4 linked regions of the Saccharomyces cerevisiae S288C genome follow. The main gene of each other region encodes a partner of the protein of the gene in region 4 in a complex. Each region holds a gene or a part of one and is shown on either strand. Other genes may lie near its edges. The genes, in order: SWD3, SHG1, SET1 and BRE2. A codon is read from its position in the direction of its gene.

Region 1 (3,454 bases), on a different chromosome or scaffold from region 4:
ATCGTTTATTCCTAGCGTTTCTGGAGTGCTTCCCAATCTTGAAATCTGAAGGGTTGAAGCAAAATAGCCACCTATGTACCATTGTGACATCATTTGGGTAGTAAATGGACCATGAATCTGTCCCTGCGTGTCTATGTACCTCCAACTGGATTCAACTGAAACTGGTGCTGGGAGTTGTGACATTCCGTTCATGCTCATATTAGGAGGAATATCAGAGGACGGAAACAAATTGACATGAGATTGGGCAGCAGTTGGTGTACTTAATGGAGTAATATCTACCGCCAATGAATGTGTACTCAGATTCACTCCAAGATTAGCAGCATAACTAAAGGAGGAGGAGGACTCGTTTCTTTGCAATAGTGGATGCTGCTGAACAGGCGTACTAACCCGTGATTCAGGATGGTCGCCGTGCCAAAAAGAGGAACTCATTACTCCCGAACTTTGAGGAATAAAAGGCTCTTTCATAGAAGAAAATGGTGACGCAGCACGCTGTATACCAATAGAATCGATTAAGGAAGACGTCCTACTGAGTGGATGTCGACCTCCTAAAAGAGGTGTATTGGATCTAAACGTCGATCCAGGGACTGTATTCACGCTTGCAGCAACAGCACCGTTTGTATTGTTATTAACGCTCGCAGGGGAGGAATCCAGGATAGTAGAAACACCGTGTGTGTTATTGTTTTCTGTATCGACTGAATCTAGTTTTAAGTCCTTAAACTGTTCATCAAAGGAACCGAATAATCTTTGCGAGTCTGGTGCTATCATTATTGATGTGGGCTGAGAAGTTGAGTATATAGGGGAGGAGGAAGGAAGGTAAAAGCTCAAGGAGTACGAATGGAAATGATGAACTCGAAGAGACCACTGAACTGCGTGTGTGGGTATTTGTAGTATTGTGAAAAGTTCCAAAAGGCCCATCAAATCAAATCAACCTATAAGTGGAAATATGAAAAATTTTTTTTTTTTTCAGTGCGACTGAAAAAAAGGCATAGGGTAATTGCGGACTATATAGGACACTAAAAATATAGTGTGGCACAACTATGTAGTATAAGTATTACGGCACTAATCTAATCTTTTCAATGGTTTACGTGACAGATGTATAAAGAAATTGAGAGCAATTTTTAAATGCCTAATTGTTTTTCGATTTTGCTGTGGACGTCATCACCTACCATGGTGCTGGCTTGTAGGCCAGTACCAGGGTAGACGTCCTCCCAATCGATGCTGCACTCTTTGTTCAGTAGTATGTCACGGTGTATACTACCGTTTGTTGAAAGGGGGTTGAAGTCGGTACGATTGACGATTTCCATTTCCATCGTCCTTTTCATTGGTTCGGCAATGCCAAATATTTGTCGATACTGTTCCATTTGTCTTTGGCGCTGTGTGGTTTCCCAGTTCTTCAATGTTGATTCTAATGGATGTCTGTCATTCAATTGTGTGGAAAGAGGTACTGCACCGCCTTCTTGCTGGCGTAATGTGTCTGGCAAGGAGGGCACTGCAGATGAAAGAACACTTTTGTCTTGATCTGTAGAGACTTGAGATTTAAAGGTATCTTGTGGGACGATATTCATAGTTGGTATGCAGGCTGTTTCTGGTCTTGTCTATTTAATACTCATTCCCTCTCCAGTGAGCAGGAAACTACATAATATACTTTAATAACCTCAGGTAGGATAAAATTGCCACTGCATGGTTACCCGAGGAGTGAAAAAAGCAAGACCATAAGAAATGCTTGTGCATCACTGGCGGTAGATATTGGAAAGTTTGAGCGTAGGCTCATTCATTTGCAAGTGGCCATTATATGCTAACATGTTCCAGTTTGTTACTCCTGTGGGAACACAGAATGGATTGAAAGCTACTTGTGCGAAAATATCTCCTGATGGGCAGTTTCTTGCTATAACACAAGGACTTAACATCCTGATATACGACATTAACAGACGAACTGTATCACAAACACTAGTCACATCACATGCCAGGCCTTTCTCAGAGTTATGCTGGTCTCCAGATGGACAGTGCATAGCTACTGCATCGGATGATTTTTCTGTGGAAATCATTCATTTATCTTATGGGCTGCTGCACACTTTTATCGGCCATACAGCGCCAGTGATATCTCTGACATTCAATAGAAAGGGGAACTTGCTGTTTACATCCTCAATGGACGAAAGTATCAAAATATGGGACACACTGAACGGGTCTTTGATGAAAACAATATCTGCACACTCAGAAGCAGTTGTGTCGGTGGACGTACCCATGAATGATTCATCCATTCTGAGTTCAGGTTCATATGACGGGCTCATACGGATCTTTGATGCAGAGACGGGCCATTGTTTGAAGACATTGACCTATGACAAGGATTGGAAAAGAGAAAATGGTGTGGTACCCATCTCCCAAGTTAAGTTTTCTGAGAATGCAAGATATCTCCTGGTGAAATCGCTGGACGGTGTAGTGAAAATATGGGATTGCATCGGGGGTTGTGTAGTTCGTACTTTCCAGGTTCAGCCTCTTGAAAAGGGCGTACTGCATCATTCCTGCGGTATGGACTTCTTAAATCCTGAAGATGGATCCACTCCTTTGGTGATCAGCGGTTATGAAAATGGCGATATATATTGTTGGAATTCTGATACAAAAAGCCTCTTACAGTTGCTCGATGGTTCTTTATATCACCACAGCAGCCCTGTAATGAGCATACATTGCTTCGGTAATATAATGTGTTCCCTTGCATTGAATGGAGATTGCTGTTTATGGAGATGGGTTTAAAGAATCTGCGTTATGTACACGACAGACATTCCCTTAAGGTGTAACACAAGAGTATATATAGATATATTATAGACGTTTAAAAGTTTTAAGGGATCGGATTTTCAGCCAGATATTTTTTACTTTATTCTAATTTTTTTTTTTATTTTTCACTGCTGCTGTCTTGCGTGATGAGTAAGATATCCTAAAAAACTACTAAGGGAAGTTCGGGCAGCTTTCAACATTAAGTGTTCACATCTCGAAGAACTCGCGCCTTAAACCAGCCTATACAAAAGCTTAGTACAGATTACCTACTGCATTGATAGCTAGCATCTGTCTTGTTAATAAATTAGCTTGCCATAAAATTAGGGAAATTTTTACTCACAATATGAATATAATGAAAAGACAATTATGCACCTCCTCTAAGCGATTTTTTTCTACAGCAAAAAACGTTGTCAAATATAATACGATTCAGGATATCAGGAACAAATATTTTACTGGTACGCCTTTGTCGATGTGTACTGCGTATGACTTCATTACTGCAACATGGGTTAACAAGGCTAATTGTGATTTACTCTTAGTCGGAGATTCTTTGGCGATGACTTCATTGGGGTACGATAGCACAATTACACTATCCTTGAATGAGTTTAAATATCATGTTGCCTCTGTGTGCAGAGCTGAAGGTTCTTCCATGGTAGTGGTAGACATGCCATTCGGTACGTTTGAATCG
Region 2 (2,747 bases), on a different chromosome or scaffold from region 4:
TGACACCAGATGAAGTTTTGTCATCACTTGTCACTGTTACATTTTTGAGTGATTCTATGCTAGACTTGATCAAATTATTTATCGCATGTACCAAAGAGGGTTCTAGAATTTGGAGAGATTCTATTACTAGCCGTTCCAAGCAACCTTCCATGAAATATAGTTGAGCAAACTTTGCACCGTAATATAATATCCTTTTAAAAATACTGGGCAGATAATAAATCCGAAAAAACTTTCTCTTCTCAGGTAAGTAATATCGCAGCAGCGATATAATTGCATATATCTTGTGAGAATCAAATATTGCTGATGCGTCAGGTGTAGGTGTTTGCTCATTTGTGTAAATCTTTGGATATACTTTGTCTCGCCACAACGGTTCATCATTATCAATAAAATGTGAGTATTCATCGATAGGCGAAACATGCATTCCAATTTTGTTACCATCGTCTAAGATAGAAGAAGGCATATTATGACTTTTCCTTCTATCCTGAGTTTTCGATGACGTCATCAATGTGCTGTAATTATTTTTAAATTGGGAATTCAAGTACTTTATCACTTGAATATGAAAATCTTTAACGTCATTAATGTGTTCTTTGAAGTTTTTTCTCAGTAAGCGCAAAAAGAATATACCATCTGCCTTCGTATCTACCTGTTCCTTATTGAAATAAGGAAACATATCATTAAAAATAAGGGCACGAATTAAGCTTTCAACTTTATCATTACTATCCCACTTTAAAGATCGTATATGCGCAAAGTCTTGAACTAATGCTTCTTCCCCATAAGGCCGGAATGCGCTGAACATATTTTGAAGGTCATTTAATCTAAGAACGGCAGAAGAAATCGAAGAGAACACAAGATTTTTGGATGTCCAGATTAATTCAGCACCGTCGATCCTAACTTGCTCTCCAGTGAATGCATCGATACAGTTGGCGACATAAACAATCTTTTCCCAAGGTATAATGAGTTCTTTCAGAGGATCGCTAGATTTTTGAAGATCAAAATTCTCGTAAAATTTCACCAAACATTCTTTGAGTTTCATTCGAAATTCGTACATGAACTGGAGTTGCCTTTTATCATCAGAATCCCATTTCCAAGACGAATACTCAGCCATTAGTTTGTAAAAGATTTGAAAGTTAGATCCATTATCTGGCCATCGCTCTTTTTTAATGAACTCATCTAAAGATGCCACCCAGAATCTTGAGAGTGTAAGCCCGGTAGTTTGGACTTCGGTTTCTAAGTAGTCGATTGCTGCAAACTTTAACTCGTAGTATTTCTTCATGCCGCAATATTTGTTTATTTGTCCACTCAAAGCTTGGAAGTGAGATTGATATATGTAATTTAAATGGAGGAATTGCTGAACATCTGTTTCTGAGGAAAACTCTGACGATAGAGACGCGACACTGGAAAGCAGCGCCTTTTTGATGCATTTGTATATTACTGTTTTACCGCTGCGAGTTTTATGGTGGAAACGAACGGTACCTTTTGAAGATGCAATGATCTGGGCCAGTTTTTCTGACTGTATAACAATCCGCCTTAAATTGCCAGTTGCTAGATTGCCTATAACATCTCTATATCTGGCAACAGCCTCGTCAATGGACATGACTATAAAATAAACTACACCTTAAAACTGAGTTCATATACCGCTTGCTGCTTCCATATTAAACACTTTTCGTTGTATAAATATGATGGCCTTTTTTTTTGTCTTATTTTTCTATATCTTGAAAACGAGAGATACTAGAGAAATAATACGTAAGAAAATCAGTTCTTTATTTAGCGAAGCTGAAACACAGTATAAGAGAGTAGAGCTTATTTCAAATCCAAAAAATGGCGTATAATCAAGAAGATAGTAAAAGACTATCAGACAAGTATAAGAAGGAGGGACATTTTGACAAGTTGAAAAGAGAAATATTGTCTAACCCATGGAATAATACAGAAGAGAATAGTGAATCTTTTGAACAAGCGCTTCGGAAAAGAGTTGCCAGTACTGTTAAAGAAATGGTTAACGAAGATGAAGAATTAATATTTAAAAACAGAGGGCTAACCAGTGCATTGATTGAATCACAATTGGTCAAGGACAACTACCTAAAGCTGGGTAGTAAAATGGAGGGGGATAATGGTGATGGTGAGAAGAAATTTGACTTGGATGTCTATGTACGGTCTAAGTTACAGGATCCCAAACTATTGGAAATGATAAAGGGACAACTTCAGGAAACACTGAACTCTTATGAAGAGGAAGCAAATGGAAGTACGTAATAACTCTTACTAATTCTGTATATAATATAGCATATCATCACAACGACGACTTTTGAACTTCCTGCCTGCACGATCCACACTTCTGTACTTGAACCTATCGCCTAGTATACTATATCTCAATGCCGAATCGTCGTCATCTGATATTGGGATTTCAAATTGAAATACTGTGCCCTTTTTTGGAATGCATTTTATTTCGTCTATTATATTGCCCTTGACAATCATGATAAAAAATTTCTGAGAGTCCCAGATCACAATGCCTTGAAGGCCTATTAAAGTCTTATTTTTGCTCTTTGTAACGCGTAACAGCGCACCATTATAGTCTGCCATAGATAGTTTTAATAATGCTAATGATCCATTGAATGTTTTTAAGTTTTTTGTAATGTTCAAAAGTTCTTTAATATAGTTAATCCATAGTTCCTTATACATCGGTACAAAATCAACGTACTGCGGTAATGATTCGTATATCGTTGGATGCTTCTCCTCTATGTAGTGTAAAAGGT
Region 3 (5,966 bases), on a different chromosome or scaffold from region 4:
CTTGATAGTTTGTCATCTTGCTGAGTCGAAAGACAATTTCGTGTGTCAATTGAACCCAAATTATCTTTTTTTTCGCTATTTGATTCAGAAATTTTATTAAAACTAATTTTGAGTTTTGATATTTTTGGTTGAGCGGTATCAGTACTAGAATATCGTAAGGAAACCCTAGAAATGGGCCGGAATGCTGTCGGTAGCCTAAAGAAATGCTTCATCCGTGGCCTTTACGTTTTCTTGCGCATATGTTATGTACCATCTATATTATTGAATGTTCGTGTTTTCAGGCATTTCTCTGCAAGCAAAAGTCATCGCGAAATCTTTATTCTTCAACAGTGAGAGATCGCAAAATTTTCCAAAAAAATGACACGAACAAAAGTACTAATCGTTAAAATAATGGCCGAGATTACTTATAGATGTATACAGTTTAGTATTTATCTTTACCTTTTGCTGGAAAGCAACGATATGTTAAATCAGGAAGCTCCAAACAAATCAATGTATCATCGTCAGTTCAAGAAACCTTTACAATTAGGTGCTCCACATAAACAAGGAAGTCTTTCCTCGTCATCCTTTTCTCTCTCAAATTTGTAATCATATGTCAACTCTTCGCTTGCCGCGATATCACGCAGTGCATAGATAACAATTCTCCTTCTCCCGCCAACCTTTATAATCTTTGCCGTACAATTTGGATCACAACAATGATTAATGAAACGGGCTATACCACCTTTCTTGGTGGCATCAATAACCGTGTTTTCATCAACCCTAAAAAGGTAACTGGATCCAATCCCATTTTTCAGATATCTTTTCTCTCTCATTTCTGCTACAGGTTGCCTGATCCTTTCACCAACGTACTCGATAATCATTTCCTTTGCTGCGATAGAGTCTAGAGCATATAAACCCCAGTTGTGAATTGCTGAACGAGCGAACATAACTGGCTTTTTTCTTTTATTTAATTGATTTAGTGATAGCAGCTCAGATTCCGTACCAATTGCGGCTTTCTGTGCCTCTATGTCCTGCTGAAATCTTCTATTTGATGCCCTATTATCTCTAGAGGATGAAACTTCTTGAGGAACTGAGTCTGAAGGTTCTTTATTCGAGGATTCTTCTCTTTGACAAAGTTCAGGTGTGTACTCATTCCTTTCATTGTGAATATTCACCGTATTTAAAGGTTGGTGAACTCTGCGACGATGGGGTAGGTAATTAATTTTTAATTTATCCGCAATTTTCCTGAACCCTTCAGCTTTAAAAGAGCTACCTGGTTGTAGTTCACTATCAAATAAAGTTCCATTAAGCTCTATTTGCCAATCGGAAGCCTTCTCTTCTTCAAGAACTTTTCGGCGAGATTGCCAAATTTTATATTCCAGAGCTGCGCTTGTTTCTGGTGTGACGGTAGGAGTATATGTGCTCAATAACTGCTTTAAAATTAGCATATCTTCCTCATCTTTGATAGCATTCTGCAAATCCATAGAAGATAAAGTCTGACTATATTTCAAGTCATATTCCTCAGGTGGATATACAGGTTCGGGAATTTCGGTAGCAGTAGGTTTATACATCGAAGAAGCATCCAGTACGTCAGACGACCCATTTTGATCGGGTACTAACGGCTTAATACCATGAAGGTGATCAGATTCGGGGGTGGTTGGCTCAGACTCACTCTTGAATTTCTTATCTGGAGCTTCTTCTTCCTCTTCTTCAGAAGATGAAGATGTCATATTTTCGTCTTCTTCATCATGTTCTTTTGATACGCGAGTGATCCCTTCATCGTTCAATGGGGTAGTTTCTTTGGAATCGGTTTCTTCGTTCAGTAAATGTGCCATTGGTTTGATACCATTGGATAGCTTTTTCCTCTTTAAAGAAGTATGATCCAACGCGAGTGAATTATGCCTTTTTAAATTTCTTTTATTAGATTTTGCATAGCCACCATATAAACCAAACAAATCAAAATCTCTTTTGGCTTCTTCTTTACGTTTCAATTCATCTTCAGCAATTTTAGATGCAATCTGTTGTCTCTTCTCTTTCTCCTTTAGTTCTCTTTTAGCTAACAATTCAGGAAAATTTGCATGGTCCAAAGCATCAAATACCGTAGGACCAATCAATCTCTTCTTAATATCAACATGTAAAGTCTTTTCCAAATCTTTTAATATTTGTTTTGCTGTAGCTTCAATGAACTCCTCTTTGGACTCGTATTTTATAGGTACATTTGTAGAATTTGAAGATGAGCTAGATTTATTGAATCTAGTTCTGTTTTGGAACCTAGGGAGAATGAGATGAAACTTTATTAGAATAGGAATTCTTCTGCTCCGAGACATTATTGTTAAATTTCCTGACTCTGCATTCGAACATGTTTGCGCATGGGCAATGTCATTAAAAATAATATAGATACCAGTTGGATGATCAATAAATTTCGCACATCTGTATCCCCTTAACTTGTATTTAAAGTCCTCAACGCAGAACCTATGTTTGGCAACAAATATTTTGGAGACATGTAAAACAGGTCTGTTATTAACTACCCCCAAGAGATCATATGGAATTCTTTTTTCACTTCCGGACGAATGAGATAATGTGTCTACCTTAGGTTCCTTGGGCAAGGTAATATCTTTGCCCTGTAATTCCTTTGCTTTTTCGTTTTCTGCTTCTTTCTCTTTAGCCTTCTTCAGGTTCTCTTGTAACTTCTGTAGCTTTTTGACATTTATTTCAACAAATTTAGAAATGATATTATTCAAAATGGAATGCTTGTTTAAAATCACTTCGAACTTGAAGCCCATGATAAAGCAACCCGAAGATTCGTGCTTTCTAACGGCACTAAAGGCTGCTTTTGCTGCATCATTAATTTTTCCATCAGAACTGGCATACTTTATAAGATAAACATGCAAAGGTAAAGCGCTATTAGGATCATTAAATGCTTCAAAATGAGAAATTTCTCCATACTTTTTAAAATAGTTTTTTATTGATATGTCTTGGATATTGGTTGTTGTTGAATCTTGCGCTGGATAGACAACTATTTCACATGAAGGGGGAGGCCCTAAGGAGTACCTGTCATAAGATATGCGAGGCAATAGAATTAGTGAGTTCCTGCATTTTCTGTGGGTTGCCACTTTTCCGCTAGTCATGATACCGTTTTCATTACGTGGGTCGGATGCTTTTATCTCCGGATGTCTGTGTTTTATTTTGAACTTAAACTGTCCATCTTGTAACTCTTTGACTACGTAATAACCTGTTTCAGAAAATTCTTTATCTGTAGCCTTCCACGAAAGCATCTTATCCTTATTGAAGAACTCGCCTTTTATGGGATCAAAATAATGAAACTTAGACTTCAAATTATCTGTGTTGTATCTCAAAACTGAAGGTGGTCTTTGTTGCAAAAGCAGAGCAGATTCTGTGGGAAGAGATCCACTCGAAGACGCTAATGTATTGTGAACATTGCTATTTGAATACCGTGATTGAGACATGCCCCTCCGACTACTGATGTCAGATTTCTTATTTACATATGGGCCGCTTTGGCTGTTGTTAGTAGCATAGTACTGTCGCGTACTTGCATTGTTTGAACTATGTGGGCGATCGTCATTATAGCGTCGCCTTGTACCATCATTATGGTTATAACGTCGACGTTGATTATATTGACTAGAATATTGTTGGTGAGAATGGCCGTTTGAATACTGATAGTGACCAGAACGCGAATATTGAGGCTGTTCCTGGGGTTGTCTGTATGAACCAGAAGACGCGTGTGCTCTTCTATAGTAATTTGACATTCTCTAAACGCAGAGACCTCTTATAAAGATTCAACAAATAAGGAATGTTACCTATGCTAGTCGCAACTCTCTCGTAAGTTGAGGGTTGCTAACAGAAAAACGATGAGAAGAAACTTTTGAAAAATATTGTGTGAAAGCAGCACGAAACAGAGTATGAAAAAAGAATGCGGGCGTCCGTAAAGAGCTAGAATCGCAAGTGTCCAGAATATGCAAGGCTTTCGAATACACTCCTCACGCTTCTCTTCAGCAAAAATCAACTCTTTGTGATAAAACTGTGTATTTCTTTGTTCTTTGCCGTTGTTTACGTTAGTAAGAAATCGGCATTGAAAAAAAAAATCTCACACTAAAATTGCAGAAAAAAGTGTACAATATCAGTAAATAAAATTGGCCAAAACAATACCATTAAAACCAGTCATGTCCATGCAACAAGTCCAACATTGTGTCGCAGAAGTACTTCGACTAGATCCACAAGAAAAACCGGACTGGTCGAGCGGATATTTGAAGAAGTTGACTAATGCGACATCGATTTTATATAATACTTCACTGAACAAGGTAATGCTGAAACAAGATGAAGAGGTTGCTAGATGTCACATATGTGCATACATAGCGTCACAGAAAATGAATGAAAAACACATGCCTGACCTTTGCTATTATATAGACAGTATTCCCTTGGAGCCGAAAAAAGCCAAGCATTTAATGAACCTTTTCAGACAAAGTTTATCTAATTCTTCACCTATGAAACAATTTGCTTGGACACCGAGCCCCAAAAAGAACAAACGCAGTCCAGTAAAGAACGGTGGGAGGTTTACTTCTTCTGATCCGAAAGAGTTGAGGAATCAACTGTTTGGTACACCAACTAAAGTTAGGAAAAGCCAAAATAATGATTCGTTCGTAATACCAGAACTACCCCCCATGCAAACCAATGAATCGCCGTCTATTACTAGGAGAAAGTTAGCATTTGAAGAGGATGAGGATGAGGATGAAGAGGAACCAGGAAACGACGGTTTGTCTTTAAAAAGCCATAGTAATAAGAGCATTACTGGAACCAGAAATGTAGATTCTGATGAGTATGAAAACCATGAAAGTGACCCTACAAGTGAGGAAGAGCCATTAGGTGTGCAAGAAAGCAGAAGCGGGAGAACGAAACAAAATAAGGCAGTTGGAAAACCGCAATCAGAATTGAAGACGGCAAAAGCCCTGAGGAAAAGGGGCAGAATACCAAATTCTTTGTTAGTAAAGAAGTATTGCAAAATGACTACTGAAGAAATAATACGGCTTTGCAACGATTTTGAATTACCAAGAGAAGTAGCATATAAAATTGTGGATGAGTACAACATAAACGCGTCAAGATTGGTTTGCCCATGGCAATTAGTGTGTGGGTTAGTATTAAATTGTACATTCATTGTATTTAATGAAAGAAGACGCAAGGATCCAAGAATTGACCATTTTATAGTCAGTAAGATGTGCAGCTTGATGTTGACGTCAAAAGTGGATGATGTTATTGAATGTGTAAAATTAGTGAAGGAATTAATTATCGGTGAAAAATGGTTCAGAGATTTGCAAATTAGGTATGATGATTTTGATGGCATCAGATACGATGAAATTATATTTAGGAAACTGGGATCGATGTTACAAACCACCAATATTTTGGTCACAGACGACCAGTACAATATTTGGAAGAAAAGAATTGAAATGGATTTGGCATTAACAGAACCTTTATAACATATCCAGTATTAACTAAAAGTATATATTTGACCAATACCTGACATATCTTCTAAAGCATGCCTTTAGCCCTATAACGAGCTAATGTTAGCTCCATCTTTGCACTTATGATTGGATCAGCCCTCAAACGCTTTTGTATCTTTGCAGCTTCCGCGAAGGTAGTAGCTTGAAGTTTTTCATCCATAGTTCTTGCTAAAATTGCAGAATCTTCAAACAATTCTATGGCCTCGTCAATTTTTTCCATTTGTAATTTTAGTTGTGCTAACCCGATCTTCGCTTGTTCAGATCGTGGATCTAATTCACAGGCTTTTGTCAGCAGCTTAATGGCTGCGTTGAATTTCTCTTCATCCAACTGGGTTGGATCTTGAGAGGATTGTCTAGCTAATATAGTTGCTTTCCCAATCAAGGGTCCTATACCCACATGTATTTTTTCTTGCACTTCTTCCAACCTTTTAGCAATATCATATTGTTTAATTGCAGTATCAAAATCGCCCCTATCTG
Region 4 (4,003 bases):
ATGTTTCACAGACGCAAAAGACCTTATAACACCAGAAATTATGGCCATGATGACAAGAAATTCAAATCGCAGTACATCGATATTATGCCAGACTTCAGCCCTTCCGGTCTGTTAGAGCTGGAGTCGAATAACAAAGAAGGTATAGCTTTAAAACATGTGGAGCCGCAGGACGCTATTTCTCCAGATAACTACATGGATATGCTAGGACTGGAGGCGCGAGATAGGACTATGTATGAACTAGTGATATACAGAAAGAATGACAAGGATAAAGGACCGTGGAAAAGATACGATTTGAACGGCAGGAGCTGTTATTTAGTCGGTCGTGAACTGGGCCACAGTCTGGATACAGATCTCGACGATAGAACGGAGATCGTTGTCGCAGACATTGGTATACCCGAAGAAACATCCTCAAAGCAGCACTGCGTCATCCAGTTCAGGAACGTTCGTGGCATTTTGAAATGTTATGTAATGGATTTGGATTCGTCCAATGGGACATGTTTGAACAACGTTGTAATTCCTGGAGCGAGATATATAGAGCTACGAAGTGGTGACGTCCTTACACTTTCAGAATTTGAAGAAGATAACGATTACGAACTCATCTTCATGAATGTATAACCATATATAAGAAACACACTTTCAGTGTGTTTTAATTATTCTTCTTTGAATGCTGCTTTATTGCTGTAGGGCAATTTGCTCCAACTCATCGATTATATCCCATACTATGTCTTCAGCTATCTGTTCTTTGTACAATGTATCCAGTGTGTTAACTTTTGAATTCCCGTCAACACAGTAAGCTGATCGGATTTGATCGAGGTACTCCAATTTATCTTCTTCACTAATTATCCTCGCTGTTCCACCGTTAAAACAGCTGATTGTTGGATAGTAACCCAGTTTGTTATTATTTACGTATTTGTTTCTGAGTATCAATCCCTTCTTTTTCTTTTGTTGCTGCTTTTTCTTTTTGGCACTGGTTGTGTTTTTATCATTGGACTCATCACGAGCTTCACCATGTTGCCAATATCCAAGATAGAACTTTTCATTGTATTGTAACTCACTGAACGGTGGTAACAACGGCTTTAAATTTTCAAATGCTTTGCCTAGGTACTTACCATTTTGAAAGATAGCAAGATATGAATCCTCTAACTGGTAATAGTCTTGCCTTTCCCTCTTATCAGAAGAATAATATTCCGGTTTCGTTGTCTTTACATAGTCCGTTGCCTCAAAGAACAACTGGTTCTTATACCTGATGGCGATTTGATCGCGGACGACGTCGTTATATTCAATATCTTCTAATAGCGCCCTTTGAAATTCTTTGTTCGTTGTCTCTTGTTTTAATTTTTTCCTTGAAGGCCCATTCTCAGCATCTTCTCTCCATGGTTCATTCATCGTATCCATATGGGAGTTCAGTGCAAAAATTCTTCTTTTGGTAAACTCCTTAGCTTGTTTGATTTGTGTATGAATGCTAGGAAGACTCAGTAGAAATCCGATTTTATCACCCTCTTTCAATGGCGAACCATTTTCTAGGACGCAATTCAATTTTCCTTCGTGGATAGATTCTAACGAAATGTCTCTAATACCATACCCGTACACATCAAACCCTACGGGAGCCTCTAAACTGGCCTCTCTTCTGCAAACTCCAAATCGTAGATGCGGGGTGTCATTCACTTGTTTGTGCATTTTTTCGTATATGCCACTTTGTACTTCGTCTACTGAATCATCAGCATTTTCCTTATTATTAACACCGTCTGCGAATTTCTTGTTTCCTCCACGAATTACCTCCACTTCCCAATACGTCATTCCTTCTTTAATACACACATCGCTTCTTGCAGTTCTCCAACCGTATTGATCCGGGACACTTACCAGATCATTTCCATCTCGACTAATTGACAACCCTTCAGATCTGTCCATGACGCTCATTCCAGAGTGGTCAAATGGGTATTCTGTACAGCCATACCCCAAAATAGTGAAAAAGGGATTTGCGGAACACGGTCTGTACACAAAATGTCTTCGATTCAATGGAATATCTTCTGTGCGGACAAACTCATAACTTGTACCCTGAACCGATGACTTGATTTGGTGCGTTGCTTCCATCTGTGGTAAATTAGGTCTCTTCCCTTCTTGCTGACCCTGGAGAGCATTCTTGTAAACAATATCAGTACCTTCCTGGTAAGGTATAATACCCAACTTCATTATTAAGGAAGTGAATTATTTGTCTTCGTCCAATTATGGCCACCTTTATCGCTGATATCCTTTGTCTACATCCTTTTTAAACTATAATCACAGATTCTCTATTTTTTTCTTTTACCGCGATGAGCTTCATAAAATACTCACAATACCAAATGTGAAAAATTTTAGTAACGTAAAGTGGTTTGCTTTATTCGCACAGGAGTAACCCTTTAGAGTACATAAAACATACGAAGATGATGATTAAATCATGAAGCAGAAAAAATTTAACTCCAAAAAAAGTAATAGAACAGATTTATCAAAAAGAGGAGATTCTCCTAATATAGGAATTTCCAAATCTAGAACTGCATGTAAACGATGTCGATTGAAAAAAATTAAATGTGATCAGGAGTTTCCTAGCTGTAAGAGGTGTGCAAAATTAGAGGTACCATGTGTTTCTTTGGACCCAGCCACCGGAAAGGACGTTCCAAGATCTTACGTCTTTTTTCTGGAAGATAGATTGGCTGTCATGATGCGTGTGTTGAAAGAATATGGAGTAGATCCCACGAAAATACGAGGAAATATACCTGCTACAAGTGATGATGAACCTTTTGATTTGAAAAAGTACAGTTCAGTTTCATCTTTGGGAGAAGAGGGAATATTGCCACATAATGGCTTATTGGCGGATTATTTGGTTCAGAAAGGGAATTCTATGGCATCCTCAGCTATAACGAGCAAGTCTATGGCAAGCCCACAGACTATAAATGTACAACGCAAGGAATTTCTGGTAAACTCAAAAAAACAAGATGGTAGCGCTTTATTACCCGAGACAGGCAGCCCTATGACTTCAGATGCAAGAGCGGAAGAGCTACGCCGATGTAATAAGGAGATCAGTGCGCTGGGCACGATGAGAGAAAGTAGTTTTAACTCTTTTTTAGGAGATTCATCGGGTATTTCCTTTGCGAAATTAGTCTTCACGGCAACTAATTTTCGTCAAGATTCCGGAGATGACGTTCTGGATGAAGATATTAAACAAAGGGAACAGAAATACAATGGATATGCAGAGGCTGAAAACAATCCACACTTTGATCCATTGGAACTACCACCTCGACATGCCGCTGAAGTTATGATATCCAGGTTTTTTGTAGATACTAATTCCCAGTTACCTTTGCTGCATAGAGAACTTTTCCTGAAAAAATACTTTGAACCTATTTATGGTCCCTGGAATCCCAATATTGCATTGGCATCTGATCAGACAGGCATAAATAGCGCGTTCGAAATTCCAATTACCAGTGCTTTTAGTGCGCATACTGAACCAAAAAGGGAGAACGTTACTGAGAAGATTGACGTATGCTCTTCCGTGGATGTTCCATGGTATGACACTTGGGAGACATCTCAAAAAGTCAACATGCGTCCGATAGTTGAACTACCGACAAAATTTCACATACCTTATTTTTTTTTAAACATTATATTTGCTATTGGCCATGCTACGCAGGTACTTAAGTCAGATATTACTACTGTCGCGACATATAAGAGACGCGCTACTAAATATATTGCATCTTTATTTTCATCTTCAGACAGGTTGGAGGCATTGGCAGGCACTTTGCTCATGGTAATCTATTCAATAATGAGACCTAATGTCCCCGGTGTTTGGTATACTATGGGTTCTGTACTAAGACTAACGGTTGACCTAGGACTACATTCGGAAAAAATTAATAAAAATTATGACGCCTTTACCAGAGAAATACGCAGGCGTCTATTTTGGTGCGTTTACTCCTTAGATCGGCAAATTTGCTCGTATTTTGGTCGACCTTTTGGTATACCTGAAGAAAGCATCACC

The links.
Region 1: BRE2 (region 4) and SWD3 share a complex: the UniProt entries of both Saccharomyces cerevisiae proteins name them as parts of the set1C/COMPASS complex.
Region 2: BRE2 (region 4) and SHG1 share a complex: the UniProt entries of both Saccharomyces cerevisiae proteins name them as parts of the set1C/COMPASS complex.
Region 3: the proteins of BRE2 (region 4) and SET1 are in contact, whole or in part, in a cryo-EM structure (PDB 6BX3), measured with the Saccharomyces cerevisiae proteins. Residues at the interface, in NP_013115.1 of Saccharomyces cerevisiae: Gly118 (codon at 1,839), Trp119 (codon at 1,836), Glu194 (codon at 1,611), Ala195 (codon at 1,608), Phe199 (codon at 1,596); in NP_011987.1 of Saccharomyces cerevisiae: Arg973 (codon at 827), Pro975 (codon at 821), Val976 (codon at 818), Glu978 (codon at 812), Met979 (codon at 809).

Annotation. Positions count from the first base shown.
Region 1 is NC_001134.8:580,608-584,061, forward strand, and holds SWD3 (Swd3p), read left to right. Parts: upstream 1-1,800; coding exon 1,801-2,748; downstream 2,749-3,454. Other genes in the region: SMY2 (Smy2p), read right to left, coding at 1-765; UMP1 (Ump1p), read right to left, coding at 1,119-1,565; ECM31 (3-methyl-2-oxobutanoate hydroxymethyltransferase), read left to right, coding at 3,113-3,454. UniProt on the Saccharomyces cerevisiae protein: The COMPASS (Set1C) complex specifically mono-, di- and trimethylates histone H3 to form H3K4me1/2/3, which subsequently plays a role in telomere length maintenance and transcription elongation regulation.
Region 2 is NC_001134.8:729,234-731,980, reverse strand, and holds SHG1 (Shg1p), read left to right. Parts: upstream 1-1,818; coding exon 1,819-2,247; downstream 2,248-2,747. Other genes in the region: YBR259W (uncharacterized protein), read right to left, coding at 1-1,594; POP4 (RNase P/RNase MRP complex subunit), read right to left, coding at 2,257-2,747. UniProt on the Saccharomyces cerevisiae protein: The COMPASS (Set1C) complex specifically mono-, di- and trimethylates histone H3 to form H3K4me1/2/3, which subsequently plays a role in telomere length maintenance and transcription elongation regulation.
Region 3 is NC_001140.6:343,820-349,785, reverse strand, and holds SET1 (histone methyltransferase SET1), read right to left. Parts: upstream 3,744-5,966; coding exon 501-3,743; downstream 1-500. Other genes in the region: mismatch repair ATPase MSH1, read right to left, coding at 1-212; ORC6 (origin recognition complex subunit 6), read left to right, coding at 4,158-5,465; protein channel TOM71, read right to left, coding at 5,518-5,966. UniProt on the Saccharomyces cerevisiae protein: Catalytic component of the COMPASS (Set1C) complex that specifically mono-, di- and trimethylates histone H3 to form H3K4me1/2/3.
Region 4 is NC_001144.5:173,414-177,416, reverse strand, and holds BRE2 (Bre2p), read right to left. Parts: upstream 2,191-4,003; coding exon 673-2,190; downstream 1-672. Other genes in the region: PML1 (Pml1p), read left to right, coding at 1-615; PPR1 (Ppr1p), read left to right, coding at 2,435-4,003. UniProt on the Saccharomyces cerevisiae protein: Component of the Set1C/COMPASS complex that specifically mono-, di- and trimethylates histone H3 to form H3K4me1/2/3, which subsequently plays a role in telomere length maintenance and transcription elongation regulation.